4 linked regions of the Saccharomyces cerevisiae S288C genome follow. The gene in region 3 interacts genetically with the main gene of each other region. Each region holds a gene or a part of one and is shown on either strand. Other genes may lie near its edges. The genes, in order: SEC12, BUD31, SEC16 and SAR1.

Region 1 (7,744 bases), on a different chromosome or scaffold from region 3:
AAAAAAAATACAAAATAACGTGGATGTATTAAACCAAAAACAAAATAAGACAACTCTAAAGCTGTCAAACAGAGATCTAACGGATTGAACCATGTCCAAAGTAATGAAACCCAGCAACGGAAAAGGTTCTAGAAAGAGTTCAAAAGCAGCCACACCTGATACTAAAAATTTCTTTCATGCAAAGAAAAAGGATCCGGTGAACCAAGATAAAGCAAATAATGCTTCTCAAATTACGCCAACAGTGCCACATTCTCATCCATCAGATATGGTTATCCCTGACCATTTAGCCGAATTGATTCCTGAGCTGTATTCTTTCCAACAACTGGTGGATTCCGAGAAAAGATTAGATCATTTTATTCATCTGCGAAACTTACATATGAAGCGAATGGTTGCGCAGTGGGAGAGGTCAAAGCTATCCCAAGAGTTTCTTTATCCTCATTTAAATTTTCCAAATGTAAAATTTCTCCGAATCTTCATTTCAAATGTTAGTGAAAACCAACCCTGGCAAATGGACACAAACAATGAGGCTGACCTTATGGCACTGGAGAATGCCACTTGGACGATGAGAATCGAAGGTCGATTATTGGACAATGTGCAAGCTAATGATCCAGCAAGAGAAAAATTTAGCTCATTCATAGAATCGATAGTGGTAGACTTCAAAAATAAGGAAAACGATAATGTGCCATCGACTAAATTTAATGCGGCCCCTGAAGAAAATGCCACCGAAGGACCCAGTGATAAGAAATTGAACTTAAACTTACCGTTACAATTTTCACTGCCGAATGGTGACAACTCTACTACGACTAATACCGACCAAAATAATGCCACGATGGGGGAGGAGACTGCCAAAAAGGATATGAGTTCTACAACTCCAAAACTAGAATCAGTGAAATGGCAGTATGACCCGAATAATCCTGTAGACTTCGATGGTCTCGATATTAAGAGGGTAGGGTCTGAAAATGTAGAATGCACTATAAGCATCCTGCGAAAATCATCCCCAGAAGAGCCATTTATGAGCTACTCTCCACAACTAACCGCAATAATAGGATTGAAGAGCGGTACATCACATGATGCAATATTTTCCATATATAAATACATCCATTTAAATGAATTGCTTACCAATGATGAGTCTGCATTCGAAAATTTGATGGGCAACAGGAACAATCACAATAGCAACACCAGTACTAGTAAGATGCTTGATGCAGCCTCCAGTCAAGTTTCTATTGTAAAATTAGACACTCAGCTTATTACCTTATTACCCAGCAGTCTTAAAGAATCTTCTCCAGATACAATGAAATTAACGGATTTACTGTCCCTTATTAATAGTACTCACCTGCTCCCATTACAGCCAATTGAAATTGATTACACAGTACGCGTTGATAAAGCTTCCACTTATGGTGAGTTGGTTCTTGATATTGAAGTACCTGATGTCAACGCTCTAAAATTCAATAATACACAAAGAGAAAGTCAAATTGGGGCTGCTGAATTGAATGAAAATGCCAGGGAATTGGAACAAATCAAACCCAAGATAGCTTTACAGGACAAAGAAATAACGTCCGTTCTCTCGAATCTACACGAGAGCAACAAACGATACCGTTTCTTCAAGAAAATTAGTGAGGACCCAGTTAAAGCATTAAATGAATGCATTGCTTCTACCTCGAATGCTTTGAAAGTTTTATCGGGAGATGAGGGCTATAATGAAGATATGGTAAGGCGGGCTAACTTTTACAAGGAAAATGAAGCTATGTTGCGCGAGAATATAGAAGTCATATTATCAAATGGACGAATGTAGGCTTCTTTACATTGATACACAATAGACTGAAGATTTATGTAGTTTTCTTTGTATATAAACTCTAGATAGGAAAAGAAAGGTCACCATTCATTTATAATAATTAAAGACGAACAGACAATGCTGATTTGTTTATAGCGCCTACAAGTAATGGCGGCTGTCTGATTCCATTGTCTCTTTCTAAGAAAAGCGCTGAAAATTTTCTACTGGAAATTTCAGAATATGAAAAAGTAGTAGAGATGAGGGCCACTTAAACACAATAAGCATATAAGGAACCAAGGGAAAAGCAACAAATGAGTGCTAACAATGGTGTCACTGGCAAACTCTCTAGTAGAGTCATGAATATGAAGTTTATGAAATTTGGTAAGACGGATGACGAAGAGAGTTCCAACTCCAATACGCCGTCTAATATCAACTCAGATGTGGAACCTATAGAGCAGAAAGGTAAACTCTTTGGTCTGGATGACTCAGCGTGGGACCTCAATAGCTACAAAGATGATTTAAAAAAAATTTCAGGTAAGGAGAAGAAAAAGGTGAAAAGAGTAGTATATAAGAAGCGACCCAATCTCATAATCTCCAACGTTGGTTACAGTGAACTGCGAAAACCTGAGGGTGTGATAAGTGGGAGAAAAACCTTTGGCGATAATTCTGATGATAGTGGTTCCAGGAAGAGAAAGTTTGATGAAGGCGAACAAAATGAAGACGAGAAAAGGGATGCTAAGGATAAGGAATTTACAGGGAGCCAAGACGATGGAGAGGATGAATATGACCTAGATAAATTATTTAAGGATAGCATCAAAAAGAAAAAGACCAACCATAATGGTAAAAATAAAAATAGAAATTCAAAAAAGTAGCGCAGACAATGCACCAGCAGAAGTACGTATTCGTATATAATAATGAGAACATAATATAAAGCATTGTGTAGTATTTTTTTCGTATTTGTCATAAACCATAAGGACTGCCGTCCTTTCTATTACGCTCAATTCCAAAACATATACAAAAACATGTAAATACACCACTTCTAATTTATCAGATAAATCTCTATCATCAATATCATTGAGATCGTTTTTGTATCTTTGCGTTTTTTTTCATAGCTTGAGTGTCGTCACTCTCCTTTTCGCTACTTCATTATTGCTACCTCATAACTTTCTCTCAAGCTCAAGCATCATCTATTTCTCGAAAAGTTGCGTTGGTGATCTCAAACTCTGCCCCTCCAGTATTAATAATGTTACTTTCAGTACATAAGACTTCAGTTCCATTCACAGAACTCGTCTCATGCACGCCATGCACTTTTATGGAATCTACGCTAGGTACAGATGTTTTTGTACCGTGGTTGCCAAACAAAGTTGTTTGATGTAAGTCTTCATCAACTACGTAGGGCGAAGAGATGGTGTCTCTTTTCGTTAGAAAATTGTCCTTCGCGTAATTGAAAAGCATGGAATGCAAATTGTGCTTATAGGAGAACTGTAAAATGTAAGAAAGCAGCACAATAAGGATGAAGTTGGTGAAAAATTTAGAGATTTTTTGTTTCATTGAGGTGTAGTTGGCGTAGTTAAGCGGTAATTTTATTATGTGGATAGTGTTGGCTGCCGAAACACTCGCCACATATGTAGAGTCCGGAGAGATAGTGACCTCTGTAATGGCAAAACTATGAGCTTGTTTGAATATTTTAGACATTGACAGGTCTTTTAGTTTCACAAGAGCTATGGAATTGTCATTACTTGCCAGTACCGCCAATTCACCCTTCATGTCGACATCCATAGAAGTAATCCCTTTGAATCTGTTTGTCACTTGTTTGGATCTTAATACGGAAGTGTTTCCTGATTTGATGCTTATTTTGGTCAGCACAATACCTTTCCCTTTTTTTAAAGAGGCTGCTATCAATACTGTGTCATCGGCTATGAAGTTTATTTTAGATAAACTCCAATTCTTATCAAAATCTGTTTTCCTAGCAATGCAACTTCCAGTCACTGTTGAAATCACTTCCAAGCTAGAACCGGTGATATAAGCAACAACCTTACCATCAGTGGAAAAGTGTAAATCCTTTACTTCACCCCTAGTCTCGATCTCAAACTTCTCTGTCAAGTCGCTCGGGTCAATGATTCTCATTATAGCAGGTACTTTAGATGATGCGATAGCTGCAACGGTACCTTCTCGTGAAATATAAACCAGCTTCGTGTAGTCATCCGCATTTGTAGATGCGTCAAAGTCTACACTAGTGAGGAACTCCAATTGATCATTCACTTTATCGTATTTAAATTTTCTCAAGTGCTTATTACCTTTACCTTGGGTAATCTTAGTGCTATTTTCATTGCAGCCAACCAAAATGATACCCTTGGAAGCGTCAATTGCAGTAGGAGAGTCGTCGTTGTCTTCCAATGCAAACTCGCTCAATATATGAAACTGTTCCTTCTCAGTATCTTTGGTAGGATCCACGCGCAAGACCGTCAGCTTGTTTGGTATGCCATTGTTTCCTTCTCCTCCACCGCCTGCCACAAGTAATGTGTCGTTATTCAAAAATTTTGCACCGTACGCAGGATACCCGACGTTATAACTAGCTGTCACGAACTTCATAGTGGCTCGATTGTATCTCAACCTTGTTATATATCTGTATTTCTATCACGTATCCTTCTAGGTTTCTGTACACGTTTTTGAATTTTTTGGATTTTTTTTTTTTCAACTTTTCTTTTTTCCCTCATTCTTACTCTATTGTCATCACCATTCAAGATAAAGATAATAACTAGCTTTGAGAAATTAGACCAGACGCAGTGGAAGGTTGAATACATGCCTGTGTGAGGGTGGTGCCAATGACCAGTACATTACATACGACAAAAAAAGTGCTCTCCATTCAATCACACGTCATACATGGCTACGTGGGAAACAAGGCCGCTACGTTCCCACTTCAATACAGAGGTTGGGATGTGGACGTATTGAACACAGTTCAGTTTTCTAACCACTCGGGGTACGCCCACTTCACAGGCTTCAAATGCAGCACTGAGGAGTTGGTAGACATTGTAGAGAAGGGCTTGATTGGGTCTCTTAGAATCAAGTATGATGCCGTACTTAGTGGCTATTTACCCAATGTTCAAGCCCTGCAAAAGGTAGCAGGAATAGTGGGTCAATTATGTGAGGGGAGTGAAAACGTCAAGTGGATATTAGATCCTGTACTGGGCGATAATGGAAGGCTGTACGTGGATCGAGAATGTGTTGCGGTATACCAAGACATTTTACAAAACTTCAAAATTTTTTTGGCCACACCAAATCAGTTTGAAATGGAACTGTTGGTGGGGATGTCAATTCGTACCTTAGACGACGCTAAGCAGGCATTTAAACTATTTCATAAAAAGTACCCTCGAGTAAGCCGAATAGTTGTCACTAGTCTGGAATTATCTGAATTCCTGAGCAACGACACTTACGTAGTAGCAGGGTTTGATTGCTCGGCCAGTGAAGAGATATTCTTCTATGAAATCCCCAAGATCAACGCAAAATTTAGTGGAAGTGGTGATTTAATCAGCGCCATGCTCACTGACTCGTTACTAGGCGACCGCCGCTGCACACAGCTGTCATTAAGCGCATCCTTGGGCCAAGTGCTGTGGCTCGTCACCAGTATCCTACAAAAAACGTATGATTTAAACATAGCTGAGCGGGGCCCACAAGATTCCACGATAGATATCAAGGATTTAAAGCTGATTCAGTGTAGAGACATCCTAAAGCAAGATCTCATACCCTCCATTGGCAAGCCAAAAACCATTAAAATATGATTCTTACGAAACGGTATGCTCCTTCCTCATTGGGGTGCGGCTGCTGCAGGAACCTGCCTAAATAGGAAAATACATTCCTGATTTGGAAACTGTAGGCACACGACGCGTCCCTTTGGAGAAGATCGATCCTTCTTTGGGTCTTTCAATTTGATTGGAAAAAAAATATTTAAAAAAATAGAAGAAAAATATAGAATATATAGAATATATAGAATCAACTACTGCAGTAGATAAATAAAGAAGACTATTCATATTCAGTATCACAATTGAAAGATTATTACAATTTGTATACATTGGTTCCCAATGAAGAGCTTTTTTCTTTATCTTTATGTGGCATTCATGTTTAGTTGCATAACGGCTCTGCCATTACCTGTGGATAACAAAAGGGCTTCTTCAGACTCCTTAGACCTAAAGAAAAAATACGCACCAGACCCTCCTATTACACATAATGTAAACATCGGAATTGTTTTCACAGATCCTGAAAGTTCGGAAGAAGCCGGCCGTCTCATAACAATAGACTTATACGGGACTATGGTGCCCAAGACAGTAATGACTTTTTGCCAGTATGTTGATAGTGTAAAAGATCGCCTTGCTTCCCGTCACAGTTACTCGCCAGAACGCGATTTTGATAAAATTCTACCGAATGGAGCTATAGAAGGTAGCTCCGTTTCTTCCTCCTCTATTGAAGAAACGGAAATGTTGGCTCCAAAACTCCCGGAAGAAAATCATAGTTTAATTCATGATAGGCCAGGCAGAGTTTCCATGATTAAGGACGATAAGGGTCTTAAGTTTATAATTGAGACCAGTGAGACGCCACTTGAAGGTGAAAGTGTTGTGTTTGGCCAAGTTACCGCCGGGTTAAAAGATCTGATGGATAAACTAGCTAATGTGAAAACTGACGAAAATGGCAAACCAGAGCAACCAATAACAATAGGTTACATTTCATCCCAGGAACACAGGATTCAGCATGCAAAGGAAGCTCACGAAAAGTATTTACAAAGGCTTCAAGATTACCAAAACGGCGATTTGGAGAAAGGTATTACATTGAAGAATTATTTATACCAGGGTAGTCAAAGAAAGTTAGAAGACGCAAAATATAATCAGCTTCACCATCCTTTACCAAAGATTATGCTTGGTATTTCGGTATTGTTACTTTTCTACGTTTTGGCCAAGTACAGGAAAAGAATATTCAACAGATCGTCTAAAATAGTTTCTATTAGAGAGGATTAAAATGTTTCGATCCATCCGCTTAATATTCATTCATTTTGTATCACATACATACGTATAAATATACATAACTTACCTCGTCTTTATTATGCCAACCATCATTCCAGGGTTTTACGTAACAGTTCCTCTATGGATTCCTTTTCTAGGTACTTCCCAATCAGCACAATTTTACACTCTTTATTGGATCCGTCATATTTGCCTGGAAAGACATCGTAGGTGTCGCGGACGCCTTGGATTACACGAGCAATGGGGTTCTCTCCTTCAATAAGTATCAGACCTTTAGTTCTTTGTACTTCCCAATCACGGCCGTCATCTCGGCGACGCCCTCCCAGCACTGTCATGGCTCCAAAATTCTTCCACAATAAAGGTTGCAAAAATTGCTTAATAAACTTATTATTATATTCTTCCTCGTTTTTTAATGGTCTGAAAGTAAGCATTATTGTGCCCATTCGATCATCATGAATGGTACCGTTTCCGCTACCACTATCTAAGATGTCAGATATCCGTACACTGTCGTATGCATGAATATCTAGTAAATTTTGAATCGGCGTATCACTATACTTGGTGAAGAACATCGGTGCGATAGAATTTATTTCCCGTACTCTTTCTTTTAATTGTTTGACCATTTCTGGTGAATGTTCGATAGTATCGTATTTGTTCATTATAATTCGATCAGCCATGGCTAGTTGGAAGTGTGCAATAGTCAGATTCCCCTCCAAACCAACTTTGTCACCATGCCAATGGGCATCGATGGAAATATCATCTAAGCATTTTAGTATATGCTCACAATCCAAAACCGTGATGATCCCGTCAATGTAAACGCTGCTATTCAATCCTTCGTCCTGCCAGAACATTTTCGCAATGGGGGCGGGATCTGCAATACCGGAGGTCTCTAAAAGGATATAATCGATTTTACCAGGTGAACGCTCCACCATATCTTCGATGGCTTTAACACCTATATTTTTCAACG
Region 2 (6,811 bases), on a different chromosome or scaffold from region 3:
TATATATCTATATATATATATATCCCAGCGTATATGACTGCACAAGACGCAATTTTCTTGAACGGTTTTTTCTTTTCAGCACTGCGAAAGAGAGAGCAACGGTAAAGAGCATGAGCCAATTTGAAAAGCAGAAGGAACAGGGCAATTCTTTGTTCAAACAGGGCCTGTATCGCGAGGCTGTGCACTGTTATGACCAACTAATTACTGCTCAACCGCAGAACCCGGTCGGGTACAGCAACAAAGCCATGGCGCTGATCAAACTGGGTGAATATACACAGGCTATTCAAATGTGCCAGCAAGGACTGCGGTACACCTCAACGGCAGAGCATGTAGCTATCAGATCCAAATTGCAATATCGTCTAGAGCTGGCACAGGGAGCGGTAGGTTCAGTACAGATCCCTGTTGTAGAGGTTGATGAACTACCGGAGGGATACGACCGGTCCTGAGAAAAGAGAAAGGGAACACTTCTAATTTATCTTTAAAATTATATATATATATATATATATATGTGTGTTTGTATACTCTGTGGGTATTTCCGTGTATATGGTTAATAATAGTAGTATCTTGTCAGTTTTTTTTATGTTTTTCTTCGCGCGTCAACTTTCTACCAAGAGAAAAACAATATAAGGTCTCCTTACTCTATAGGAGAATAAAACAAACAAAAATAAAAAGCACATCGTAGCGCCAAGAAAATACTGCAAATACCAAATACCACAATAATACTACAATTATCTATACACAAGTGTTTTGCCGCTTAAAACTTCGATTTTCATAGTACGAAACTATACACCCTTGGTTTTTCTCTTTTCTAAATACATATCTACCTTGTAAAGAATTTCCCGCACATCTTTGCGGGCATACAGTTCATGTATTGGCAACTAACGGAACTAAGGCAACATATCTTGCATATTGCAATGTTCACTATATAGATGAAAACTTATATCTAGGTTTCACGACACGAGAATAACTAAGAAGCACGATCCATGATATAGAAAAATCAGTTACGACGAAGCACGGCAAATTAGCCGCCGAAGACCGATATTTTTGCCACCGGTCACAGTTTTCTTTTCCACGGAGCTCTTCGCGGTTTTTTTGTTCCGGATTTTTTTTACCGGCTCTTAGCGGACCGTTTTGGTTATAAGGGGAGTGGCAGCGGCGGTAGACACTGCGCTCTATAAGAATACTTGCAAGGGTCTTGTCTATTGTATAATTCGCTAGTATTTGTTTTGCATTGTACTCTTAATACCCCAACCAAAAACAAAATAGTGAGAGTAATGGTGCGTTTTGTTTCAATTTTAAGTTTATTCGGCTGCGCGGCGACGCTTGTCACGGCCCATGATGACATGGACATGGACATGGATATGGACATGGATATGGACATGAATATCGATACGACAACGTCTCAATCCATAGATGTCTCATCCACGGCTTCAATCGTCCCCGTGCCACATGAACCAAAACATTTGCATGGCCTTCCTATACTGCAATCGCCCTCGCTTACCCCTGCGGAGAGATTGTACTGGGAAAACTACAACACCACAACCTACTTTACTACACAGGCTGGGAATAGGTCTGCCCTTCGCTACCACATTATTACGCTGCTCTTGGTTGCATTTGTGCTCTACCCTGTGTCCCTGGCGCTAAGCGCCGCCCGTTCTAGGTGGTACTTACCCCTGCTGTTTGTTAATCTATGCATTTGTATTTCGTCCGTAATGGCATTGTCCGTGTTCAAAAATACTTTCCCGGAAGAAGACTGGTATGCGCATAATATCTATGGCACCACTTCTGTGCTACTTCTCGTTTTTATGCTTGTTCACTTCTTCGCTGCGGTGCTTTCTGTCCCCGTCTCATTAGCATCGAAAAAGGAGTACCGTCCGGTTGACACCATCCCTCTGAATGATCTTGAATCTACGCCCGTCATGGTGAATAGTGCACGTGGCTCTCCAAGTCCTTCTTCCAACAGAGACACGTTGTTCTCGCTCTCTTCAGACACCACGACCGCCACGGCCACCAATAATAATAAACGGAGACGCGCTGAAGGCGAAGACGAGGGTGATAACACCTCCAACCACGACACTTTGCGCGACGAAGACTACGATAATGATGACGACGAAATTGCTTCCATTGAAGCGCCACCTCTGCTTCCTCAAGACATACCCGTTTTCCGAATCTTGTTTACCAACACGAAGTACCAGATGCTTGCCGCGCACCTCTCGTGCGTCGCCAACGTGGTCTTTCACATGCTTACCTACCCGCTATTCATGTACATCTTTGTAGACCTAATCATCGGCTTCGCTGTAGGTAACTTGCTCGGCAAGGGCATCCGCATCTTTAATCTCTTGGCCCACTGGATTAAGGGCGGCGTATTTTTTACTCTGGGCGTTGTCTCTTTAGCAAGATACTGCGGTTTCGCAGCTAAGTACGGCTGGGCATGGAACAACATCAGCTTCACCTCTCAACTCACACAAACGCGTTCCTCCAATCTTCTTTTCCGGTTTGCTCCTGCGGGGACTTTCACCATGGAATTCGTTGAATCCTTCCTCATTTTCTTTTACGGGTCCACCAACATCTTCTTGGAGCACCTGGCAGGAAACGGCGGCGCATGGACTGCCAAGGATTTACAGCATGTGTCGATCGCGTTTATGTTCATAGGAACCGGATTGTGTGGGCTACTCACGGAGTACAAGCTCAACCATTGGCGATTCGAGCATGCCCGCAAACGGCCACAGACCGATGTAGTTGCTGCCACACCGGGGTACTCTCCAAACCCGTTCCCCGCTTTCACCATATTTTGGACTGGGATTCTGATGTCCCAGCACGCACAGTCCTCGCAATTTTCTACTACCATTCACACGCAATGGGGATACTTGTTGTCCTATGGGTCCTTCTTCCGTCTGCTAACATTTTTGATTCTGTTTTTGGTGCCCAACACCAACAGTGCCGCATCCAAGCCTTTCACGGAGTTGATCACCTCGTTCTGTCTCCTCTGTGGTGGTCTGGTATTTATGGAGTCCACGGATCAGTCCATTGAAGCCATGGAATATAGGGGGTTTACCCCCATGTTCACTTTCAACCTCAGTGTTGGATTCGTTTCTTTGTTGATGGCTTGGGAAATGATTTTATTTATTTGGAAAGACTGGCTCATCAAAACCAGGAAAACCAGTCTTTAACCGCCATAATGGCTTTTCTTTTTTCTTTTTTTTTTCACCCCCCCCTCATCTTTGAGTGAGAAGCTTATATGCTTTACTTTTCCTCACCTACTTTTTAATTCTTAATTATTAGTTTATCCAGCATTCAGTCAATTCTGAATGCGTTATCGCTTCCTCAAAATTTATAAAAATGAATAAGCAAGATCTCATTGGAATTGAGTTCAATGACGATTATTGAGGGCCCATACCTGATAAAAGTGAATATATTATGTATAATGACTCTACTGGAGGTTCTCTCTGAGAATGTAAAATAATCCACAAAAGACATGAAAATTAGTTACTCTACATAATGTATAATAAGTTCTTCCTTCCTTTTTTCTTTTTTTAGTTTTTCTACTCACCATCCTACCTACGCCAAGCTGCTCTACTGTCTTGGATCTGTGAAAAAACGCCTAGAAACATGTATAAAACCTACCGCTTTAAACCATAATTTCAAATCGAAATGGCACTATGGCCGAGTGGTTAAGGCGAGAGACTCGAATGGAATAAAAAGTTCGGCTATCTCTTGGGCTCTGCCCGCGCTGGTTCAAATCCTGCTGGTGTCGTTTAATTTTTTTTAAATAACATCGTTGATTAAAACAATCCTATTCACTGCAGTCACAGACTTAGCACATTTACAACCAGTACAAGATCAATCACACGCGTTGTGGTAGGAACTTTGACGATGATACTGCGTTGGCTCTTGAACGCATAGTACATTTGTCGTTCACAACGGAAAGTGAAATACTGAAAAAAAAAGAAAAATTTTCTTAGGGACTCATCATCAATGTAAACACCTCTACAGCCGTCAAGACTAGCAAAGCTCACCTCACAAAACGACATGCCGCGCATAAAGACCAGAAGATCCAAGCCTGCACCTGACGGGTTCGAAAAAATCAAGCCAACCCTCACAGATTTCGAAATCCAACTCAGAGATGCCCAAAAGGACAAGTCGTCTAAGCTCGCAGCAAAGTCCAATGAGCAGCTCTGGGAGATAATGCAACTCCACCACCAGCGCTCTAGATACATATATACTCTGTACTACAAGAGAAAGGCCATCTCCAAAGACCTTTACGATTGGTTGATAAAGGAAAAGTATGCTGATAAATTGCTAATTGCCAAATGGCGCAAAACCGGGTATGAAAAACTGTGCTGTCTGCGCTGCATTCAAAAGAACGAAACTAACAACGGTAGCACTTGCATCTGCAGGGTGCCTCGTGCACAGTTAGAGGAAGAAGCACGCAAAAAGGGCACACAGGTGTCCTTCCATCAGTGCGTCCACTGCGGCTGCCGTGGATGTGCAAGCACAGACTAACGACTATATGCACGTTGCAGTATTGTTCTGGCCATGTAATTATCTCTCTCCCAACGTTTTAGAAGAGGTTTTCGTCTCCTTCGTCAAAGACGACCACTTTCCCATTTTGGTCATTGGAACGCGAAAAAACAAAACAGACGCGAGAACGCGACGCGAAAAAATATATTTTTCCGTTTTTTTTTTTTTTCGGAACAAAGATAACGCGTTAAAACCTGTGGATGTAATAAGGATCTGAAACACTGACTAAAACGCGTCCTCATTTAAAATCAAAAAATTACTTCTTCTCCTCCCTTACGGTGCCCTTTGATCCTTCTCAAACTTTAAATATATGTTGCATGATTAATTGAAAATCATATAGAGTATATCTTAACAGAGGTTCCAACGCTTTAAATCGTATTCTATTCTTTTCCCCCCTTTTATTATAGTTACATCTACTATTTGAGCTTCTTTTATTGACCGAAACTACCTCTTATTTCGAAGCAAAAAAAAAAAAAATCAACAAAAATTCCAACTTTTCAATGATGAATGAAGACATATCCATCATTGATGGCCATAATAGTTTTTTAACGGAAAAAAGCACCGTGCTATTAACCCAAGCCAAGAGAACACTAGAAGACGAAAAGGAAATGATTACTCCCCCGAGCTCAACTGTGAGAAAAACAATGAAGGAAGTAAATAAGAGGCCGTCGCATCCCCTCTCACCGGATCACTCGTCCCCAATTGCTCCATCTAAGGCCAAGCGCCAAAGATCGGACACATGCGCTCGGTCCAATGGTAACCTAACCTTGGAAGAAATTCTTCAATCTTTGGAAAGAAGAAGAATAAATGGTGAACTCGCCAAGAAACCTCCATATTCGTATGCAACTTTGATTTGCTTGGCCATTTTGCAATCTCAGGAGGGAAAGCTAACGCTATCCCAGATATATCATTGGATCCACGTTCACTTCCCTTATTACAAGCAGAAAGATGCTAGTTGGCAAAATTCAATAAGACATAACTTGTCTTTAAATGATGCGTTCATCAAGACTGAAAAGTCCTGCGATGGTAAGGGTCATTTCTGGGAGGTCAGACCGGGTGCCGAAACAAAATTTTTCAAAGGTGAAAATCGTGGTTATGAATTTGTAAAGGACTCCTTACAAGACATTGGGAAGTATTTTGAAATAGATTCTACACTTGATGAATTAGAACAAGTTGAGAGTGGAGAAGGCAATGATGATCTTCCTGACGAGGAAGAAAGAGAGGAAGCAGGGAAATTCCCTTCCATTGAAATTCAATTGAACTCCTCCCCTATACTGAGAGTTTCCCAGTTACATCACATACCGCAATTGAAAACAGACAACAGTGTACTGAACCCTCACGAAAACCTAGAATCGATGCGGAACATGATAGAAAACGATGTCAACAATATAGATTCCTTGGAACCTCCTTATGTCATGAAGAAATATCATACTTCTTTAGGCTTACCGTCGCTGGTGAATGCCAAAGATCATTTCCAGGCGGGTGTGAAAAACAATAATATCACCCAGGCAAATAGATTTAATACACTCCCTATAACTAGCGCAAAGTCTCCTCAGAATTTCAGAAAATATTTCACCTCATTCAATTCAAATTTTGAAGATTTATCTCCACTTCGAAGTAATGTAGGGGCTGGTTCTCTACTCGACCCACTTCCGTATTCCCCATTGAAGCTGTACGATCAGAAAAATCTTGCGCTCATGTCGAAACCACAATCTCAGCAATCATATTCCAATTCTCAACTTCCACCTCCACCTTCCTCTCATGGTTCGGACTTACTTAAAACACCCAAGATGAGGCATTCCGATGGCTTAGAGAAAACCCCATCGCGGTTGATAAGCACACCTAAGGACGGTAACTCGATTTTGAGGAAATGGCAGACTCCTTCACACCTTTTTGAAGATTTGTACTGTTCTCCGCTATTTAGAGCTATAGAGACTCCAATCAGGTATATCACGACGCCGGGGGGCACTTTGGAAACCCAAATTTCACCAAGAAAGTCCTCTGCACCCGATGTCCTCACAAGCGCAACGAATTCCAAATTTGCTTCAAGCGGGCTGTTTGGCGTGGATGTTTATTCTGTTTGGAAGCGCGCAACTGAAAAGATTTCTGATGGTAACAATACTACGGATAGCAATCAAAAACATCATCCTTATCATAATCACCCTTCCAACGATAGCGGTAATGAAAAGAATTGACTTTTTTTTTTTTTTTTTTTCATTTTCTTTTCCTCACCGAAAACTAATTATTCTTAATCTGATGGATTCATCGCAAACGGTTGGATGAGTCCTAA
Region 3 (11,647 bases):
ACGAAAAAGAAGAGAAAGGCGTACCCACCTCACATACAGCAAAATCGTAGATTGAAGACGGGATATCGGAGCTTTATTATCGCTATTATGGATAATGGCCTTATTTCGTTTGTAAAAATGTCCGAGGCTGATTTTGGATCTGAAAGTGTATGGTATACACCTAATACTCAAAAGAAAGTAGATCAAAGATGGAAGAAGCATTAAAGGGACTTTTGCTAAATCGCAGTTTCTTTATCCTTGCAAAACTGGCTTTCAACAAATCCGGTATATATATAATTATCATATTAGTTGAAAAAAAAAAGCTACAATAAAATTAAGAAATAAGAAATGCACCTAACTGCTGTATTTGGAGTACATATTTTCATCAAAAACAGAGGGTCTATTGTAAAAGGACGTAGGATTCTCTTGCAGTTCACGTTCTTCGTTTTCAACTGCTTTACGTCTTCTCAAGTCGTACATATCCTCTTGCGATTGTTTCGGTGGTACTGGTGGGGCTGCCATAGTAGGCGTTGCAGCATATGGCGAAGCTTCATAAGTTCTTGGTGGAATACCGGGTCCTTGAGGTAAATCACTGCCGGCACTTATTTTGAGATTTTGAAATTGGTCCCCTAAATTGAGCCCTTGTCTAGATAATGACTGAAAGGCTGCACTTTTTTGGGGCAGTAATGGAGGACCCCCAACGACAGACGCTTTAGAATCAAGTGGAGGGAGGGGAGGAGCGGGAGAATTAGCTGTTGAATCCTCGGTCTGCTTTGCAACTCTCACTCTTTCTGCTAAGTCTCTACTCATATTGAATAATGAATCATAGAACTCTATTCCTTTTGGCAAGTCGGATGCAAAAATACTGAATGATTTCACTGCTTCTTGCAGCTTATCAAAAAAATTCTTACGATCTTCTAAAAATTTTTCTTCCCCAGAAGATTTATCCTTGAAATTTGAAAGGTGAAAAATTTCATCTAGCTTGGCTTTGATGTCATCTATCATTGAAGATTGTTTGTAAATTGTCGCCTCTATTCTTGTGCTCAAAGGCTCGAATTTCTCCAGTTCCACCTCGAATAAATCTTTGAGCTCAACATCGGATTTCCCCTTATTAATAATTAATAATTTTGTGATATCATCGTTGTTGATTTCGTCTCTTAGTTCAGACAAATTTCTCGAACGTTCCTCTTTCAATGTTCTTAAGTCTTCCGCATGGCCCTTTACTTGTTTTAACAACTCTAATATCTTGTCGTTTTTGGTATCATCGATATCCAATAGGCTAGGTTGTGGAGGCGTATTGCGATTAAATTCGTCAAACTTCTTCCATATTTTTCCATTGTCATTCAATAGATTGATCTCGACAATATGTGGTTTTACGCATGCGAACAATTTTTCGTCTGAGTTTGAAGCAGCTACTAAAGAAGATTTTAGTTTTGTAACATTTTCTTTTTGATCATTGGGTAAGGCAGAAAGGATTTCTAAAATTTGTTTCCTTTTGAAAACAATTTTGTTCATCTGTTCTTCTATATCCCTAAATTCATTTGTTTGGATAAATTTACACCATGTCTGAATTTGGTCCCTCATCAATTGTCCCTGTGTATCCGTATTCGAGAAAATATTTCCGTCACTAAATTGTTTTTCCAAATCACTCAAGAGCCTGGGTAGATTTGTAAATTCGATGAAGGAAGAATATTCCAAATTTGCTGTCTCAGTTTCTTCAACTTGCTTTCTCAACAGCGTCGCTTTTTCTTCTGAGTAAATACTTTCCTTTTCATAGACATCTAGGGGAATAATTCCTCTGTACAAAGAGTCACATTTATTTGCAACATCTTGCATATATGGTTCTAATATCTTCTCCCATGTTGGAGATTTTATTGCATCGAGCGCCTTAATGGAATCAACCTGCACAACGGCTGGAACGCTTTCATGATATATAAAATCGTTATCTTTAATCAACTCCTTTTGTTTCTTTTCTAAAGTTTCTTTAAACCCATCAAAGTCTATAAATTCCACTAACCACGTTTTGAATGGAAGGGATGAAATCAATTGTTGCATAGAAAAATCGAGAAAAGCAATTGCTTCGCCAACTCTATTTTCTTCTTCAAGGTGTAAACCGTGATAATAAGCGCTTAACGATTTGTAGAAATGCAGTTTGCAAGTAACTGTCGTTTTCCATTTGGGTTCACCATAAATGGCCACATCGTCATCTATTTCTTTCATAAAATCGTGACATTTCTGAAAGAGGTTACACGTGGCTCTAGAAAGTTTACTGATTAATGTATATTGCTTGGATGATATTTGATCATTTAATAATTTCAAGACAAACAATTCTTGAGCTTCTGCATGGCAAATATTAGCCAGAAACCTAGTGTTTTCTGACTGAAGATCGACTGAAGGTGAGTTCAAAAAATTTTCTGATAGATATTCAAAACAGGAAAAAGCTTTTGTCAAATTTGCGATTGAGTTTTTGTAGTCCTCATTGATATTCTCCCTCGCAATTTGGGTAAAGATTACAGCAATGTTGAACAAAGTACAAGACTTTTCAAATGCTAACGTATGTTGCGTGTATTTCAATCCTTTCTGGGCCGATGAGTATTCTGCGTCATACCAAGTGAAATCCATTTTTAATCTTGATCCTTTGCTACCCAGGCGAAAATAAAGATGCTCCAAAAATGAGTAATATTTTAGATTTTGTTCCGACAATGAAGAAGGTGCTAGTTCTCCATTTGCATTATTCCTTAAGTGATCCAGTTCTGAAGTAGCTTTCTCATCATAAAATGTTCTCCATTGTGAGGAGCCGTATGATTTCTTGAGATATGAGGAGAGGCCTTTTTTCCAATCCAGCTTCTCTGTGTCTTTTAGCTTTAGGTCAAATAAGTAAGGTTTCATGAGTAGAACCAGTGAGTAATGAACCTAGTAATGCTCCAGTCAGCCGCTTTCTGATTCAAGATTTTTCCACGACAACCCCCTTAGTACTTCTTCGAATTGTAACTGAAGCCTTGCTTGCTTTCTGTTTCTCGGTGATCCTAACCCGGAACCGGCGTCCTGCATTAATCGAAGCAAGAAAATGAGGTATGATAGAATAATATTAGTATAAGCAAAGTTTCAGATCGCATTCATCTGATTTCTTACTGACAACGATGCATAACCTAAATACGGATTCCTGTAATCATTGTTTTAATAAAATTTACTACGGTTTTTATAAGTATATAATATACATCAAGAAAAGGGAAGGCATAAGGGTACCATGAAAGAAAAACGTATTACTATAATTATTGTATGTTATCCATTACATTAACATAGCCTCTCGCTGTTTTCTTCTTCCTTCTCGTACTTGCTGGTTTGGGTCCTCCTGCCAAACTCAATAAATCATCCAAACCGTTTGCCTTTTTGCTAGTCAAGTTTACGCCAGAAATCCTTGATATGGGAGAGGATGGTGATGGAGAATTGTTTGGATTGGGTCCTGTAGGAGAAGGGGATGTTTTGATCGGCAAAGGCTCACCAGTGATTGGATTGTTCGGAATAACTGATGTGGCATGTACTGGAGGTAGGGAATTATTGATGGGGCCTGAACGTGGCTTTGTCTTTGGGCCGCCATCTTTACGTTTCACGATTGGAGGAGGTGGTGGTGCCGAACTTTCAATAATTTTTTGTTTTTCCTCTTCGGTTGCGTCCTTATTCACCCAACGTTTCAATTTTTCATCATAGTATAGTGTGTTTTTATGACCTAGCTTGGCCTTATACACTTTTTTGTCGCCAGTATCTTTCTTCAACCAACCAAACCAACCATTAGACTTGTCATCTATGTCCTTGTTACTTGGTTTTGTTTCCTTTTTCATATTCACATTCTTTTTTTCTTCCTTTCTGTTCTTTGCCTCATCAGTAGACATATTGTCGTCATCGGATTCATCTTCAATAACGTCATTGTATTTATCCGCATCTGATTCCAACGGTTTAAAAGCCCTGTATTGGTTAGTTGAAGCCTTCCTAATAGTAGGTTGAAAAGTGTCTTTCTCGACGACTTCGGCTTTCTTTATTGGGCTGAATCTATTTTCTGAAGCAACATTTCCATTACTTTGTGCCTGGGATGTTGATTCAGATAATTCGAATGAAGCAGTTTCATTTGCTTGGTTGACCAAAGGAAAGTATTGTGATGGATTGGATGCATGTGCTTGGTGAGTTCTTGCATATATAGCAGGCGATGTTTTCAGAATCGTTGATTCATCGCCATCTGCACTAGCGGCAGTTGATTGAGGCACGTATGGTGAGTAGTTCATTTTGGTTGCGTCAGTACTTTTTGGCTTTGGTGGTGCCATATGTTGCTCCACAAGTTTGGATGCTTTATTATTAACATTTCTTGGAACATCTTGCACTTGAGAAATTGGTTTAGCTTCCATTGAAATACTTCCTGCTGGCAAGTATGTGGATTGAACTGTCTCTGAGATACTGTTTTCATCCTGAGTTAGCGGTCTGTTTTCGAGTGACAATCCACCAGTTGATGGTAAATATGCTGATGATGCTGATTTTGAAATGTTTTCTGGCTGCTCCTCGCTACTTCTTTCATTTTCAATGGAGGGAAGTGAATTTTCCATTTTCGATGCATCAGTACCCCGGACCTCCACGTTAGTTTGAAGAATCGGTTGGATATCGTCACTAATAGTTTGTATAGGATTTACTGTAGACGTAGGCTGGTGGTTGGGCTCCATAGGAAGAAGATTCTTCACATCGTTGAAGCCAGGTCCTTCAATATCCATTGTTTCATCTGTAACATCTGCAGAGTCTTTTAATGTATTTTGATCAGCATTGCTATTATCATGTGATGTGTGAGATTCATCTTCAGGCATACTTTTTTGAGAATGTTTGTTACCAAAATCATTGTATCCCGTCTCATGAACTTGCGGGACGACAGGGTCGATAGGCAAAGCTTCCACACTTGGTGAGTACATAAGCGATCCCTGCGAGGAATTAGCTTTAGTAGGTACCCCAATTTTGGGAGGAGGAAGAAATTCTGATCCGGTAGATATGATAGACTCCCTTCTTACTAAGTCAGGACTAGACACATAATTAGACGGCACTGTTCCAAGTTTGGGTGGAGCAGGGAAGTCGGCAAATAAAGATGGCACATTCGAATTAGACTTTTCCATTGGAACGCTATGGTTCTGTCCAAATTGTGGAGTGTAGGCCGTAGACTTTTTCTCTAAAATCTGCTGACTCTTCAAAGCCTTTTCGTTTGTATGCTGGTCTGTTCTAACTCTTCTCAAAGAAGCCATTTGAGGCTCAGCAGCAGCGAACTGTGTATTATGAATGCGCTGAGGAGATCCCTGCAAACTATCACCGATCCTATGCGTATACGGTAAGTTTGCTTCAACTAACCCCTTTGACACATTGGAAGGCTTTGAATGCAGCACACTATGGCTTGGTACATTATGGGCATTATGCAAAAGAGCTGTAGTATCCACATAGCTTTGCGAAGTAACTTGAGCTTGGAAAGGTGTGAATGTTTGGGTGAGATCCACAGTTGACGAATTGGCAGAAGATCCCGGTGTGAACCCATCAAAAACTTTCTTTTTATCATTTTTTTTATTCAATGCATCAATATCATCGCCACCAATATATTTATTGAAGGATTTATCTAATTGACCCCATACGCTGCTTAGTTTTGGTTTTGCAAGCCATCCTGTATTAGACTCGGAAAGCCTACTAGCCACCTCACTCAATTCACGAGTGAGGTTTATTGTTAAAATATCTTTCTTAGGCAGTTTTCGAACTGAGGAACTGAGGTAATCAGTATACTTTGTCCCCAGGCTGTTCAAACCTTGTTCTTGTAAAAGAGATGCATGGTATATCTTCTGGGGCAAAATAGATGAAAATCCTTTGAATTTAGGGTCATACGAGAATATATACTCGTAGATTTCATCCCATAGAATGCTTTCAAAAGTATTCATGTTTCCAATACTTTCAAATATAACGTCTGAATCTGCCATTACTGGCTCATTAGAAAGTGGTACGTTACCAATAATAAATAATGTACTAGCTGCGGCTGTCAAGCCCTTTTTGGTGAGGAATATACCGAACTCTATCAAAAATTCAAGGACAACAGGTGGTATAAGTAGTGGATCTTCATTATTTTCTGGGATATTAATCAGAACAGCTGCAACGATACTCTTCCAGTTTTCGGATGCCCATTGACTGGTCTCATTATTAGTGTAGAAACTTTTTATGGCCATTTTGGAGTTACCAACAAATACTTGAAAGATAAGGAGCAGAAAGTGTGCCAATTCTTTTTGGTCGTTTGGCCCCGCAGTAAACCCTTCATATAAATATTTCTGAATGACTTCAGACCATCTGTCTTTACCCATTAAACTGCCAACCAATAGTGCAATGGCATAATCCCTCTTGCTTAAAGCTAAGCGAAGTGCCTCATCGTGATTTCCCGTTTGTAAGAACGCCAGGACTCTCATCTGACAATTTATATCCAGTCTATATGCATTTGGAATCATGTCACCGTTTGGAAAGGGCTGAGATAGGTACATTAAAAGTTCGTCAGAATTGTATAGTAGTTTTGAAATATTTTTCCAGTTAACTTTATCGTTTAGTTTCATTTCCAATAGTTGCCATATAGTCATATCAGTGGATGATTCATTTTCAGATATGGATTTAATAGTGGTTTCCATCCATTTGGTTAAATCCTTTTTTTTTAATTTGGCACTACCCAAAGGACCTGGGAAGCTTTTGAGCATATCGTTCGGTTTAATTATCTGGTCAATTGGTGTCACTTTTATTTCCTGTACAATGCTTGATGAAATCATGTACTGCGATTGGTCAGGGATAGGGGGGACTGCGTACACGACCTTGTTTGCAGCACTCCAATGAAAAATCGGAAATTGACGGCGTAATAAAGCCTCGTTGTCTATTTTAATTGGATTATTTTCCTGTCGTGGTGGTGCAACACTACTTGTAGCTCGATGCGTGATAATTTCTGGCAGTATGTTTTCAGCAAGTGGCAAATTTGCAAGAGGTAGTGAATTTGCAGCCGTTATGTTGCTTGCACGGGGTTGCAAGTTCGTAGCGGCTTGTAAGGGGTCTAGAGGTCGTAAGGGGGCTAAAGGTAAAATGCCAGTAGGCGGTTGAATGTTCGCGTGAGGCTGAATACTTGCTGAAGTTTGAGCCTGGGGCATCATAGGAACTGCATAAGAACTTCGGGTTTGGCTTTGATAGCTTGAATTCCCAGCTACAGGACCAACAGGTTGTGAGGTATATGGCACCTGATAAGATTGTTGATAGTTGGGTGCGTATCTAGAGGCGTGTTCATTCTGGTTTGGTGTATACGAACTAATAGAGCTTGTATGGCCTCTATGGGTCTTTACAAAATTGGGGGTATTTACGGCCGAAGCGCCAAGGTTTTGCACAACTGATGGATATTGCTTCTGCTGAACTGTAGGAGAGACGGGGGCATACTTATTCGCAGTTGGCAAATTTATGGTAGCTTGACCATATGGCGAAACCGGAGGTACCCCGTTATTGAGGCCGTACTGTGTTGCATGTCTAGCACCAAAAGACGCTGAACTTCCCACGGAGGCATTGCTGACCCCTCTTGCCCGAATTGGAGGAGCAGAAACGGTGGTTTCCACTTTTAATGCTGGGGGAGGTATGTTGGTATTTGGTAAAGGCATACCTGATTGGATAGGAGCCTGTTGTAGTTGTTGAATTTTGTATGGGTTAGGGAAAGCATAATTAACGGGAGATTGCGAGATCGCTGAGTTAGTTCTCGAAGATCGAGGCTCCTGCGTCCCCAATGGGATCACGGGTGGCCTATTTGAGTTATTAGAGCCTTTCCTGCTCTGTGGAATTGGTTTGTCCAAAGAACTAAAAGAATTCCCTGAGCCAAACCTTTGAGTAGGAACGGCAACCGGCTTTGCGTGACCCTTCTTGGAACTTTCTGAAATAATTTCCAGTGGAAAATCGTAAGCATCAGACTTCTTTTTCTCCTCATTTATCTTAAAATTTGAACGATTGTCTTTTACCACAGGAGGCTTAGGACTAACTATATTTGGTACACTGACTTGTTGGTTGGGGGTGCCTAGTCCAGTTTTAGTCAAACCGTGGAACTGCTGCGGTGTTACAATGCCAGTAGTATTGGTAAAATGAACTTGCTCTTGACGCATTCCTGCTTCCTCCTCGATAATAGGTTTATATCTTGAAGCCTTTTTTTCTTCAACTGGTTTTGAGGTTAAATTCGTTGTATTATCGGTATTAGGTACTGTGTCTTCTTCCTCAGAAGAAGCCAAAAAGCTGTCGTCGTCGTCCAAAAGGTCGTCGTCGTTTTCCAAAAACGAAAACTTTTGCTCAGCTATTTTCTCAGTACTAGTCTGCATGCTGTTTTCCGTCTTTCCCGATGATACTTCACCGTCAGAAACTTCCCAAGGAAGTTTCTCATCGTTTCCAGAAGCAGCAAATAAATCTTCATGTTTCTCTTGGGATTTGCTCGTTACATCAGCGTTTTTATCAGTAGATTCCCATGGCAAAACTTCTCCCAAGTCTCCGCTGCTCTGCGTAAACAAATCCTCGGCTTGATCTTGAATATCCTTACCAGGTTCTATAATGTCAGCTTCGGCAGACAACGGTAACTTATGATTCCCTTCCCCCATTAATTTCTGGCTTTCATTCTCAATATTTTTCCCAGTGAAATCATTTTGGCCTTCAACTACCTGTTTGTCGTGTCCGTGAAAGATATCTTCTGAAGTTTCTTCAGAGTACGACCTCTCGTCCGCGGCTGTACAACTTTCGGACTTTTTCAAAGCTTCGTTTCCTTCATAACCCTTATCACGATCATCTGTGTTCGGTGCCGATTCTTGAGTATTATTTGTGTTCTCATTATGAAAATCTTTCTTCACATCTTCCTCCCATGGAACCTTCTGATCACTTTCGTCATCTTGAAACAACATGGAGGTATCATCACCAGAATTTCTTATTTTATTCTCAGATGGTTCTGTACTAGACGTAAATAAGTTTTCTGCAGTTTCCTGATCAGCGATATCCTGTTTCTTTTCTTCGGTTGATACATGCGTTTCTAGTTTTAATCTTTCATCTTCTTCCTTTGAAAGTTCATCAGGAAGCACATTATTTGCGTTCAAACTAATTTCCTTATCATTACAATACTCATCGTCATTTATTTCATTGTCTTTTGTGCCTAGAGGAACATTGTGAGTTGGCGTATCACCAGAAGATAATTCTGGAGAAAGAAGATTGCCATCGGATGGGAGAAAATGATTATATTGAGAAGGGGTAGCATCGTTTAATGATGAAATTATTATGCTGTCGTGATTTTCACCCTCTTCTTCATTGAAAGAATCCTCTTCCACAGCGGATACGGCAATTTTCTGGGTATGTTCATTATTATTGTGAAGTTCTCCCGCGACTACATCGAGCGATGGATTTCTCGAAGATAAGTGAGCGGCAGTCTCTTCGTATTCTTGAGACATGGCTGGTTTTGTTTGGGTAATAACAGAGTCATGTTCAACGATTGAGTTGTCTGGCAAATCATTTGAGTCCGCGGTAATATCATGTTGATCAGAGTCGTTGAGCAGTTTATGATGCAATTCTTGAGTATCAGGTATTTCTAGTTGTGTTTCATTAGCCGGAGAGATATTGGTAGATGATGAGACCGGAGGAACATCAGATTTTGAAGCTATGTCAGATTCTGTACGGTTCACCGAGTCGTCGTTGAAGCTGCTGTTAATCGTACTTTCTGGTAATTCAAGTGGTTCTTCACTGTGGCTAGCAGCTTTCTCAGCAGCTTTTTTTTGCTTTTGCTTCAACTTCTTCTTTTGGTTTTTCCTTTTCTTGGCTTCAGGTGTCATTCTTAACACGTTATTAAATGAAGACTATACAAAATAATAGGTACAACGGTTTCCTTGGTTATGGCCAGTTAAATACCACTATTTTGAAAAGGGAATATTGATAACAGTTGTTGTCCAGTTTCTCAAGCAGGAGGGCTGCAAATATTCAATGACCAAAATCTTGTGTAACCTGCCAATTAACCTTTTCCGTATATCTTTCTCTTGCTCGTAAGTTTATAGTGGAAAATGCCACATGTACGGTCGCTTGAGGTTTGAAATTATGGATCAGAAAGTGATGATCACTTATAACGTTGTGTTATATTATTCAACAATGAGATATACAGCGATAAGACAGTGAGAGAAGGAGAAAGCACTTAAAAGAAGAAAGTCTTAACTTAGGATGAACTTCTGATTTTCAAAAGTCAATACTGCCACTGTTTGATTTTATTTTTCTGCCGCTTTCATTGTTTAATCATTTCACCTTTTATTATTTACTGTCACTGGCTCTTCCTCATGAAAAAAAAAAAATGGTCAAAAAATTTTGAAATTTAGTTAGCTCATCTCAAATTATCCAGTGCAAAGTTTTGAAATAAACAAGTCCTAAAAGCACCTAAGGAAAATCGAAGAACACCCTGACAAAGATGGCTCGTCATGGAAAAGGCCCAAAAACTAACAAAAAAAAGCTAGCACCTGAAAAGGAAAGGTTTATACAATGTTGTGCTGATATCACATTAGAGTTAACAGATTCTTTAACCTCGGGAACAACAAGAGAAATTAATCTGAATGGTTTGATTACTAAATATTCAAAGAAATATAAACTAAAGCAACAACCAAGGTTAACCGATATCATTAATTCTATTCCAGACCAATACAAAAAATATTTATTACCCAAATTGAAGGCTAAGCCAGTAAGAACAGCATCGGGTATTGCAGTGGTAGCCGTTATGTGTAAACCACATCGTTGTCCTCACATTGCATATACAGGTAATATTTGTGTTTATTGTCCAGGTGGTCCAGATTCAGATTTTGAGTATTCTACACAATCTTACACAGGCTATGAACCAACTTCAATGCGTGCCATCAGAGCTCGTTATGACCCTTATGAACAAGCACGTGGTAGGGTGGAACAATTGAAACAGTTAGGTCACTCCATCGATAAAGTCGAATATGTTCTGATGGGTGGTACATTTATGTCATTACCAAAAGAATATCGTGAAGATTTTATTGTGAAATTGCATAATGCACTTTCTGGGTTCAATGGTAATGATATTGATGAAGCTATTCTTTATTCGCAACAAAGTTTAACGAAGTGTGTTGGTATAACAATCGAAACTAGGCCTGATTATTGTACGCAAACACATTTGGACGATATGTTAAAATATGGCTGTACCAGATTAGAAATTGGTGTTCAGTCCTTGTACGAAGACGTTGCTCGTGATACTAATAGAGGACACACCGTTAGGTCTGTTTGTGAAACTTTTGCTGTGTCTAAAGATGCTGGTTATAAGGTTGTTTCTCACATGATGCCAGATTTACCAAATGTTGGGATGGAAAGAGATATTGAACAGTTCAAAGAGTATTTTGAAAATCCTGATTTTAGGACTGATGGGTTGAAAATCTATCCAACTTTAGTCATTAGGGGTACAGGTTTATACGAACTTTGGAAAACGGGCAGGTATAAGTCTTATAGTGCCAACGCCTTAGTGGACTTAGTTGCTAGAATCTTGGCCCTAGTGCCCCCATGGACAAGAATCTACCGTGTCCAAAGAGACATTCCAATGCCCTTGGTTACCTCAGGTGTTGACAATGGTAACTTGAGAGAATTGGCA
Region 4 (6,880 bases), 250 kb from region 3:
CCTGGAATATCGGTAAGCTGATATACATGGACAACATTTCACCTGAAGAATGTATAAGAAGGTGGAGGGGCGAGGACGACGATAGTAAAGACGAAAGTGACATTGAAGAAGATGTTGATGATGACTTCTTCAGGAAAAAAGATGGTACTGTTACAAAAGAGGGCAATAAAGACCATGCAGTTGATTTGGAAAAGTTTGTTCCATATTTCGACACTTTCGAAAAATTGGCTAAAAAATGGAAAAGCGTTGATGCAATCAAAGAGCGATTCCTCGGCGCAGGCATTTTAGGTAATGATAATAAAACGAAAAGTGACTCTAATGAAGGTGGGGAAGAACTATACGGCGATTTTGAAGATCTAGAAGATGGAAACCCTTCTGAACAAGCAGAAGACAATAGTGACAAAGAAAGTGAGGATGAGGATGAAAACGAAGACACTAATGGAGATGATGATAATTCATTCACTAATTTTGATGCGGAGGAAAAAAAGGACTTAACCATGGAGCAAGAAAGAGAAATGAATGCTGCAAAGAAGGAAAAACTACGTGCACAATTCGAGATAGAAGAAGGTGAAAACTTTAAAGAAGATGATGAAAACAATGAATATGATACATGGTATGAACTACAGAAGGCCAAGATATCTAAACAGTTAGAAATTAACAATATAGAATATCAAGAAATGACTCCAGAACAACGTCAAAGAATCGAAGGTTTCAAAGCTGGTTCTTATGTACGTATCGTTTTCGAAAAAGTCCCAATGGAATTTGTCAAGAATTTCAATCCAAAATTTCCAATTGTTATGGGTGGTTTATTGCCGACCGAAATAAAGTTCGGTATTGTCAAAGCCAGGTTGAGAAGACATCGTTGGCATAAGAAGATTTTGAAGACAAATGACCCACTGGTCTTGTCTTTGGGTTGGAGAAGGTTCCAAACTTTACCAATTTATACAACAACTGACTCTAGAACAAGAACCAGAATGCTAAAGTATACACCAGAACACACATATTGTAATGCGGCTTTCTACGGTCCCTTATGTTCTCCAAACACACCTTTTTGTGGTGTTCAAATTGTTGCTAATAGTGATACCGGGAACGGTTTTAGAATTGCAGCAACAGGTATCGTTGAAGAGATAGACGTTAATATTGAAATTGTTAAAAAGTTAAAATTAGTTGGGTTTCCATATAAAATTTTCAAAAATACTGCCTTTATAAAGGACATGTTTTCAAGTGCTATGGAAGTTGCAAGGTTTGAGGGTGCGCAGATCAAAACTGTCTCGGGTATCCGTGGTGAAATCAAAAGGGCACTTTCAAAGCCTGAGGGTCACTATAGGGCAGCCTTTGAGGATAAAATCCTAATGAGTGATATTGTAATTCTAAGATCATGGTATCCTGTCCGCGTCAAGAAATTCTATAATCCTGTTACCTCACTATTGTTGAAGGAAAAAACCGAGTGGAAAGGTTTAAGATTGACAGGCCAAATAAGAGCGGCTATGAACCTGGAAACACCGTCGAATCCGGACAGTGCATATCATAAAATAGAACGTGTAGAAAGACACTTCAATGGTCTAAAGGTCCCAAAAGCTGTTCAAAAGGAATTGCCATTCAAATCTCAGATCCATCAAATGAAACCACAAAAGAAGAAAACATATATGGCTAAAAGAGCCGTGGTGCTAGGTGGTGATGAAAAGAAGGCAAGATCATTCATTCAAAAAGTATTGACGATTTCGAAAGCCAAAGACAGCAAGAGGAAGGAACAGAAGGCTAGTCAACGTAAGGAAAGATTGAAAAAATTAGCTAAGATGGAGGAAGAAAAATCACAAAGGGATAAGGAGAAAAAGAAAGAATACTTCGCCCAGAATGGTAAAAGAACAACTATGGGCGGTGACGATGAATCTCGTCCACGTAAGATGAGGAGGTAAACTTTCATGTATATATATATATATACATATATATATGTATACTTAAGATGTATCATACTTTTATTCAATCTTAGAGTCTAAAATATACTATGATCGCGGAAATGCTGTGCTCAAAAGTTATGAGGTGGCATCCTATGCAATTTTGTTGATTATTACAAAGCTGTTGAATTCATGTGAATGTCATATAAAGGGTATAGATGTATACGTCAATTAAATATATTGAGATAACCATTGGAACGCCTCTAAATAACCATTTCTCATAACAACGGAACACATGAAAACTTCAACTGGTCTTTGACCTTCAATTCTTTGAGAGCCAGTGGTATTCAATAATCCTAAAGCAGAACGTAGCTCCGCTTCAGAAACGGCGTTTGGAGCATCGATCTTGTTACCAAGAATTACAAAAGGAACGTCCTTCAATTCGGCAATGTTGAATAAAGCATCTAATTCGACACGTGCTTCATCAAATCTTTCAGGGTCAGCAGCATCGACTAAAAAGACGATACCATTAACTTCTGGGAAATAATCCTTCCATAAACGACGAGCTTGAATATGACCACCCAAATCGAAAGTTGTAAACTTAATGTTACCAATAGCCAGTTCTTCAGAAGTTGGATGCCATGTTGGTTGTAAGGTTGCCAATCTATCGTTCTTTAACATATGTAGCAATGTGGTCTTACCGGCATTATCCAAACCCAAGAAAAGTAGTTTACCATGTTTGTTCCACAGACCAAGGGAAGCCAACACATCTCTGACTGTACAGTAAAATAAAGTTAGTAAAGGACGCAATTTCTTCTAGAAAAAAAAAAATAGATCTTAAGCTGAAAACATTCAATGTTTACCACATTGAATAAAACTAAGTATCCGAAAAACGTGAACAGGGTGATAACATACACCAACCAAAAATATCCCAACCAGCCATTATTCCAATTATATATTGTTAGTTATAATGATGTTTCTAGAAAAGAAGGAAATAAATCTACTGTTTGCCTTTCTAGAGGATCCATTACAATAACTATTTGACAAGTAATTCGTTTCCTTTTGGTTTTTTATGCGATCTCTTGTTCGAGTTTTCTGGTCAACGCGTTGCAGACGGAGTTGTCGGGTAATGCGGGCGTATACGATATAATGATAGAACGATATAATGTACAATACGGCCATGTTGAGCGCGAATTTTAGAAGTGCCATCCTGCAGGAGCTTTTCGTAAGCTTCTGTATACTATAGGTACCTATCGAGGCCAGCACACGTTTAATTATGCGGAATTACTTTCTTAGCATTAAAAAAGAAATAAAATAAAATCCAAAAAAAAATAAATAAATAAATAAAAATAAATACTATGAAAAGAAATAAGGGAAGGAACAAATGAACCTGCATAATACATATGCAAAACTCATGTGTTTCCTAATGCCTGTCTTGTATCATCAAGGATATGCAATGTTTTTTCTAATTTTTCACAAGTAATCATTAATCCATCGAAATTAACACTCGCCATGAAAGAAATTTCCAGTTTGGTCAGCAGTCTTTTTGAAATACCGAAGACTTTGCAAATGTAGTTTTGTGAGTGGACAAAGTCTTCTAATAGCTTGGTGGCAATTCTTATTGTAGATATGATGATCCTATGGGCTTGGTCCTCCTGTAATTTAGCCTTCAACTTTATGGGACCGTCCATTTCGTCTCTCGTAAGAAACACAAGTTGAAGTAGATAGGTGGCTCCAAGATAGACTACGGCACCAAACATGCATTTATTCTGGATTCTGTCGATAAAATCTCTGAATGATAAGGAAGGTGGGTTCTTCATCACAAAATTAACAAATTTTTGAGGATCTTCGGAGGAAATCGCTAAAGTGTTCGCATTATCGTTAATTTTCTTAGATAGTTGTAAAATTAATTCGATATTCTCACGGAACTTAGATAGTGCTTCATCGTCTGACAATTCTGGTATTTTCGGTATTGATTCGTAATGATCCAATAATAAAGATATTCGTCGTAGCTCTTTTTCATTTTCCTGCTCACATTCAATGCTTAGCACTTTCAAATCTGGTGGTTCCCCATTGGGGGCAGAAGACGGGGGATAGGGGAAAGAATCAAATTTTGTGTAGTCCAGGATCTCCGAACTCTCATTTTCATCTGTTTCGTTATTGGTAGTGTTTCCACTTTCGTGAGAGTGATTATCAGTATCTATCTGACTATTCGAATTCACTTTATTCGTATATATTTTTTCCTTATCAGACGTGGATAAAGCCTTGTCTAATAAGCTGTAACCGTGGTGTTCCACAGTGGGTGTAGTAGAGCTAGCATTTGCAAGGGGATCCAGGAGATAATTATCGTCATCATTGTCCAACTCCGTATCGCTAAGAGCAAAGTTGGACATGGAATCTAAGCGTCCGGTACCTTGAGTTGCTGTGTCACTCTTTACTCTCCCAGGTAACTTGCCACTGCCGCTCAATAGCTCTGAGTTAAAGCTATTTACCTTGTCAATGTTGTTAGCGAGGTAATCGTTGATTTCATTGGCTGACTGGATCAGCTGTTCTACCCCCATTTTTTTACTGGACGGGCTTTTCAGGTTGAAATCTGTATTGAAGTCATTGTGAAGTTGCTGATGTTGCTGTTGCTGCTTTTGCTGTTCAAATCTCACCTTCTTGGACGGACCATGCAAACTAGAAAGCGGGTCTAACACGTCATTTACTTCTGAAAAGTTCCTGCTTTGAGAAACGCCTACCTTAAGTGGAAGGTCAAAAACGTCTTCTCCCTCATCATTTGCCCTACACATGTCACTGTCGTTATCATCATCATCATCATAAAATTCGGACATACTCCGAGTCAAAGCGTCATTAATGAGAGACTTGTTGGGATCTTGATCATTAGCCATACTGCTTCTTGTTTATCTGCAAAACCTCAAACAAAATCTTTTAAATATGTCAATTGCCTAGCAAACACAGAGACCTCCCGAGCGTCTTTCTCATCGGGGATCCTTCTCTGTTGTTTTTGATATTAAACAGGGGAATACAGAGCAAAATTCCCTACAGCTGCCCTTCCGCGCCGCTCTTTCCTATCAAGGCGGTGAAATAGAAATACTCTTAATCTTTTACTAAATACAAATGTGACTCAAATTACTTCTTACAAAATTAAATAAGTAGTTCTGAAAGCGTTAAACTATGAAAACACGTAATTATGCTTAGTACAATCTGAAAGCTGGACCCATGGAGGACTTAACAACCAAGGAACCAACATTTTGCCAGTTCTTCTTCAACAAAGAAACAAAGAAGTTAACAGACATCAAGATTTGGTTAACCAAAACGTCTTCTTCCATTTCAACGTTACCAACGGCAACAGCCAAACACAAGACCTTCTTCAATTGGAACTTGATGGTAGATCTGACATCAGTGACCTTACCGTACAAGTCATCGTTGTGAGAAACTGGGGTTGGGAACTTACCAGCCTTGGACAATTGAGGACCCAATAGTCTTGGAACTTGCTTGATCAAAACTTCAGAAGCAATGAAAGCGTTGTACTTCTTAGACAACTTCTTGATTAACTTCTTGTTCTTGTTCAACTTCTTCAAGTCATCGACGGACATAGCGTCAACACCGCAAGACTTAGCTCTGTCAACATCGAAAGCATCACCGAAGATACAGATGGACATGTTTGGTCTTGGACAATTTGGCAACTTCAAAGAACCAGAGAAACGCTTGTCTCTTTGAGGGTCATAGTTCTTCAAACCGACTTGTAGTTCGACGGTTTCCAAGAAGTTTCTCTTCTTGGTTTCGTTGGAATACTTCAACAATTCCTTGACGTGTTCTCTGACTTGAGAAGAAGTGATCTTGGACATTTTTGGACGACTGGTTGACTGTTAAATTGAAATAGTAACGTCCAATATCAATGAAACATGTTCTAGATATGTACAAGACAGAGGTTTTGAGTGAAAAAAAAATCTTCCTCTCAAGGCATCTCGCAAAAGCCAAGAAAGAAAAAGACTGCTAAAATCCGTGCACCCCGTAAAGTATGCCCGATCCCAGTAGAATGGAGTAGAGTTTCGTTAAAAATACATAAGTGAATAATATGAATATTAGAATATTTATCCTTGAAAGTAATTGAATGTTCATGTCTCTATAAAAAGACTAAAAAATAATGCAGTAGAGTTTTCGTAATGATTTAATTACGTTGTTCTTTTTACCTTTATCCCATCGACAAAGCTTACAAATAATCAGGATCCAGGATGTTTGCTTTTTTAGTAACATCTTGGGCGTTTGCAACACTGCTCAAGCTCAAATCTCGGGCTGGCATAGCATGCATTTGGGTGGAACTAGCAGCGTCTTCCAGTATGCTTGGTTCCATCAGACTGAATTGCTCATCTTCATATGCATTGATTAGCCCATTATTCGCTTCAGATTCTTGCCTGGTGTGCGAGACACCGGGGTATGACTTGCTGTTAGGCGAAGAGCTGGCGCGGTCAGGAGAAACCTCTTGTTGTGTTATCTTATCCGGAGCGCTGCGCTTGAAACTGCCCAGTTTACTCTTATTCCTTTTGATTGATAATGAACGTAAAACCTTTTCAGAAAAGGTTGGACGGGTGGTTTCCTTACTGCTACTTTCAGCATTCTCTGAATTAGTTCCTGTTTTCTCGTCATCGTATTCAACTCCGAAAAGATTATCTTCACTTTTACCTTCTTGACTCTTCAGTTCGTATTCCCAATTTTCGGTATGATCCTTTGCCACATTACCTAGGGCCATTAATTCGTTGGCCACTGACTTATTCAAGGCACCTTCATGAGGAATAGCATGCTTTTGGAAAGATGCTCTGTCATCCTTTGCTGGCTTGAACCTGGAGTCAGGATTCTTAGAAAACAGAATGATTGTGGTAAAGGCCAGAATCATCAACAGTAGAAGCAAAGAAAACGCAGCATTCATAATGAAAAACACCCAGCCCATGATGGCAGAGACAGCATACTTTTGGTTAAACAAG

What was found.
Region 1: mutations in SEC16 (region 3) and SEC12 together harm fitness more than expected from each alone (negative genetic interaction), as found in Saccharomyces cerevisiae (2 studies listed by BioGRID).
Region 2: mutations in SEC16 (region 3) and BUD31 together harm fitness more than expected from each alone (negative genetic interaction), as found in Saccharomyces cerevisiae (3 studies listed by BioGRID).
Region 4: of SEC16 (region 3) and SAR1, extra expression of one rescues a mutant of the other (dosage rescue), as found in Saccharomyces cerevisiae (3 studies listed by BioGRID, with this or other methods).

What each region holds. Positions count from the first base shown.
Region 1 is NC_001146.8:670,327-678,070, forward strand, and holds SEC12 (Sar family guanine nucleotide exchange factor SEC12), read right to left. Parts: upstream 4,364-7,744; coding exon 2,948-4,363; downstream 1-2,947. Other genes in the region: SNF12 (Snf12p), read left to right, coding at 92-1,792; MPP6 (Mpp6p), read left to right, coding at 2,083-2,643; putative pyridoxal kinase BUD17, read left to right, coding at 4,597-5,550; peptidylprolyl isomerase family protein CPR8, read left to right, coding at 5,851-6,777; ZNG1 (GTP-dependent zinc transferase), read right to left, coding at 6,873-7,744.
Region 2 is NC_001135.5:224,289-231,099, forward strand, and holds BUD31 (U2 snRNP complex subunit BUD31), read left to right. Parts: upstream 1-4,029; coding exon 4,030-4,503; downstream 4,504-6,811. Other genes in the region: TAH1 (Tah1p), read left to right, coding at 111-446; TVS1 (Tvs1p), read left to right, coding at 1,275-3,170; HCM1 (Hcm1p), read left to right, coding at 5,022-6,716. UniProt on the Saccharomyces cerevisiae protein: Involved in pre-mRNA splicing. Important for bud site selection.
Region 3 is NC_001148.4:385,259-396,905, reverse strand, and holds SEC16 (COPII coat assembly protein SEC16), read right to left. Parts: upstream 9,840-11,647; coding exon 3,252-9,839; downstream 1-3,251. Other genes in the region: tRNA splicing endonuclease subunit SEN54, read left to right, coding at 1-204; BRO1 (Bro1p), read right to left, coding at 334-2,868; Elongator subunit ELP3, read left to right, coding at 10,460-11,647. UniProt on the Saccharomyces cerevisiae protein: Involved in the initiation of assembly of the COPII coat required for the formation of transport vesicles from the endoplasmic reticulum (ER) and the selection of cargo molecules. Also involved in autophagy.
Region 4 is NC_001148.4:134,656-141,535, reverse strand, and holds SAR1 (Arf family GTPase SAR1), read right to left. Parts: upstream 2,839-6,880; coding exon 2,811-2,838; intron 2,672-2,810; coding exon 2,127-2,671; downstream 1-2,126. Other genes in the region: GTPase BMS1, read left to right, coding at 1-1,916; PCL8 (Pcl8p), read right to left, coding at 3,308-4,786; 60S ribosomal protein uL1 RPL1A, read right to left, coding at 5,093-5,746; FLC1 (flavin adenine dinucleotide transporter), read right to left, coding at 6,112-6,880. UniProt on the Saccharomyces cerevisiae protein: Small GTPase component of the coat protein complex II (COPII) which promotes the formation of transport vesicles from the endoplasmic reticulum (ER).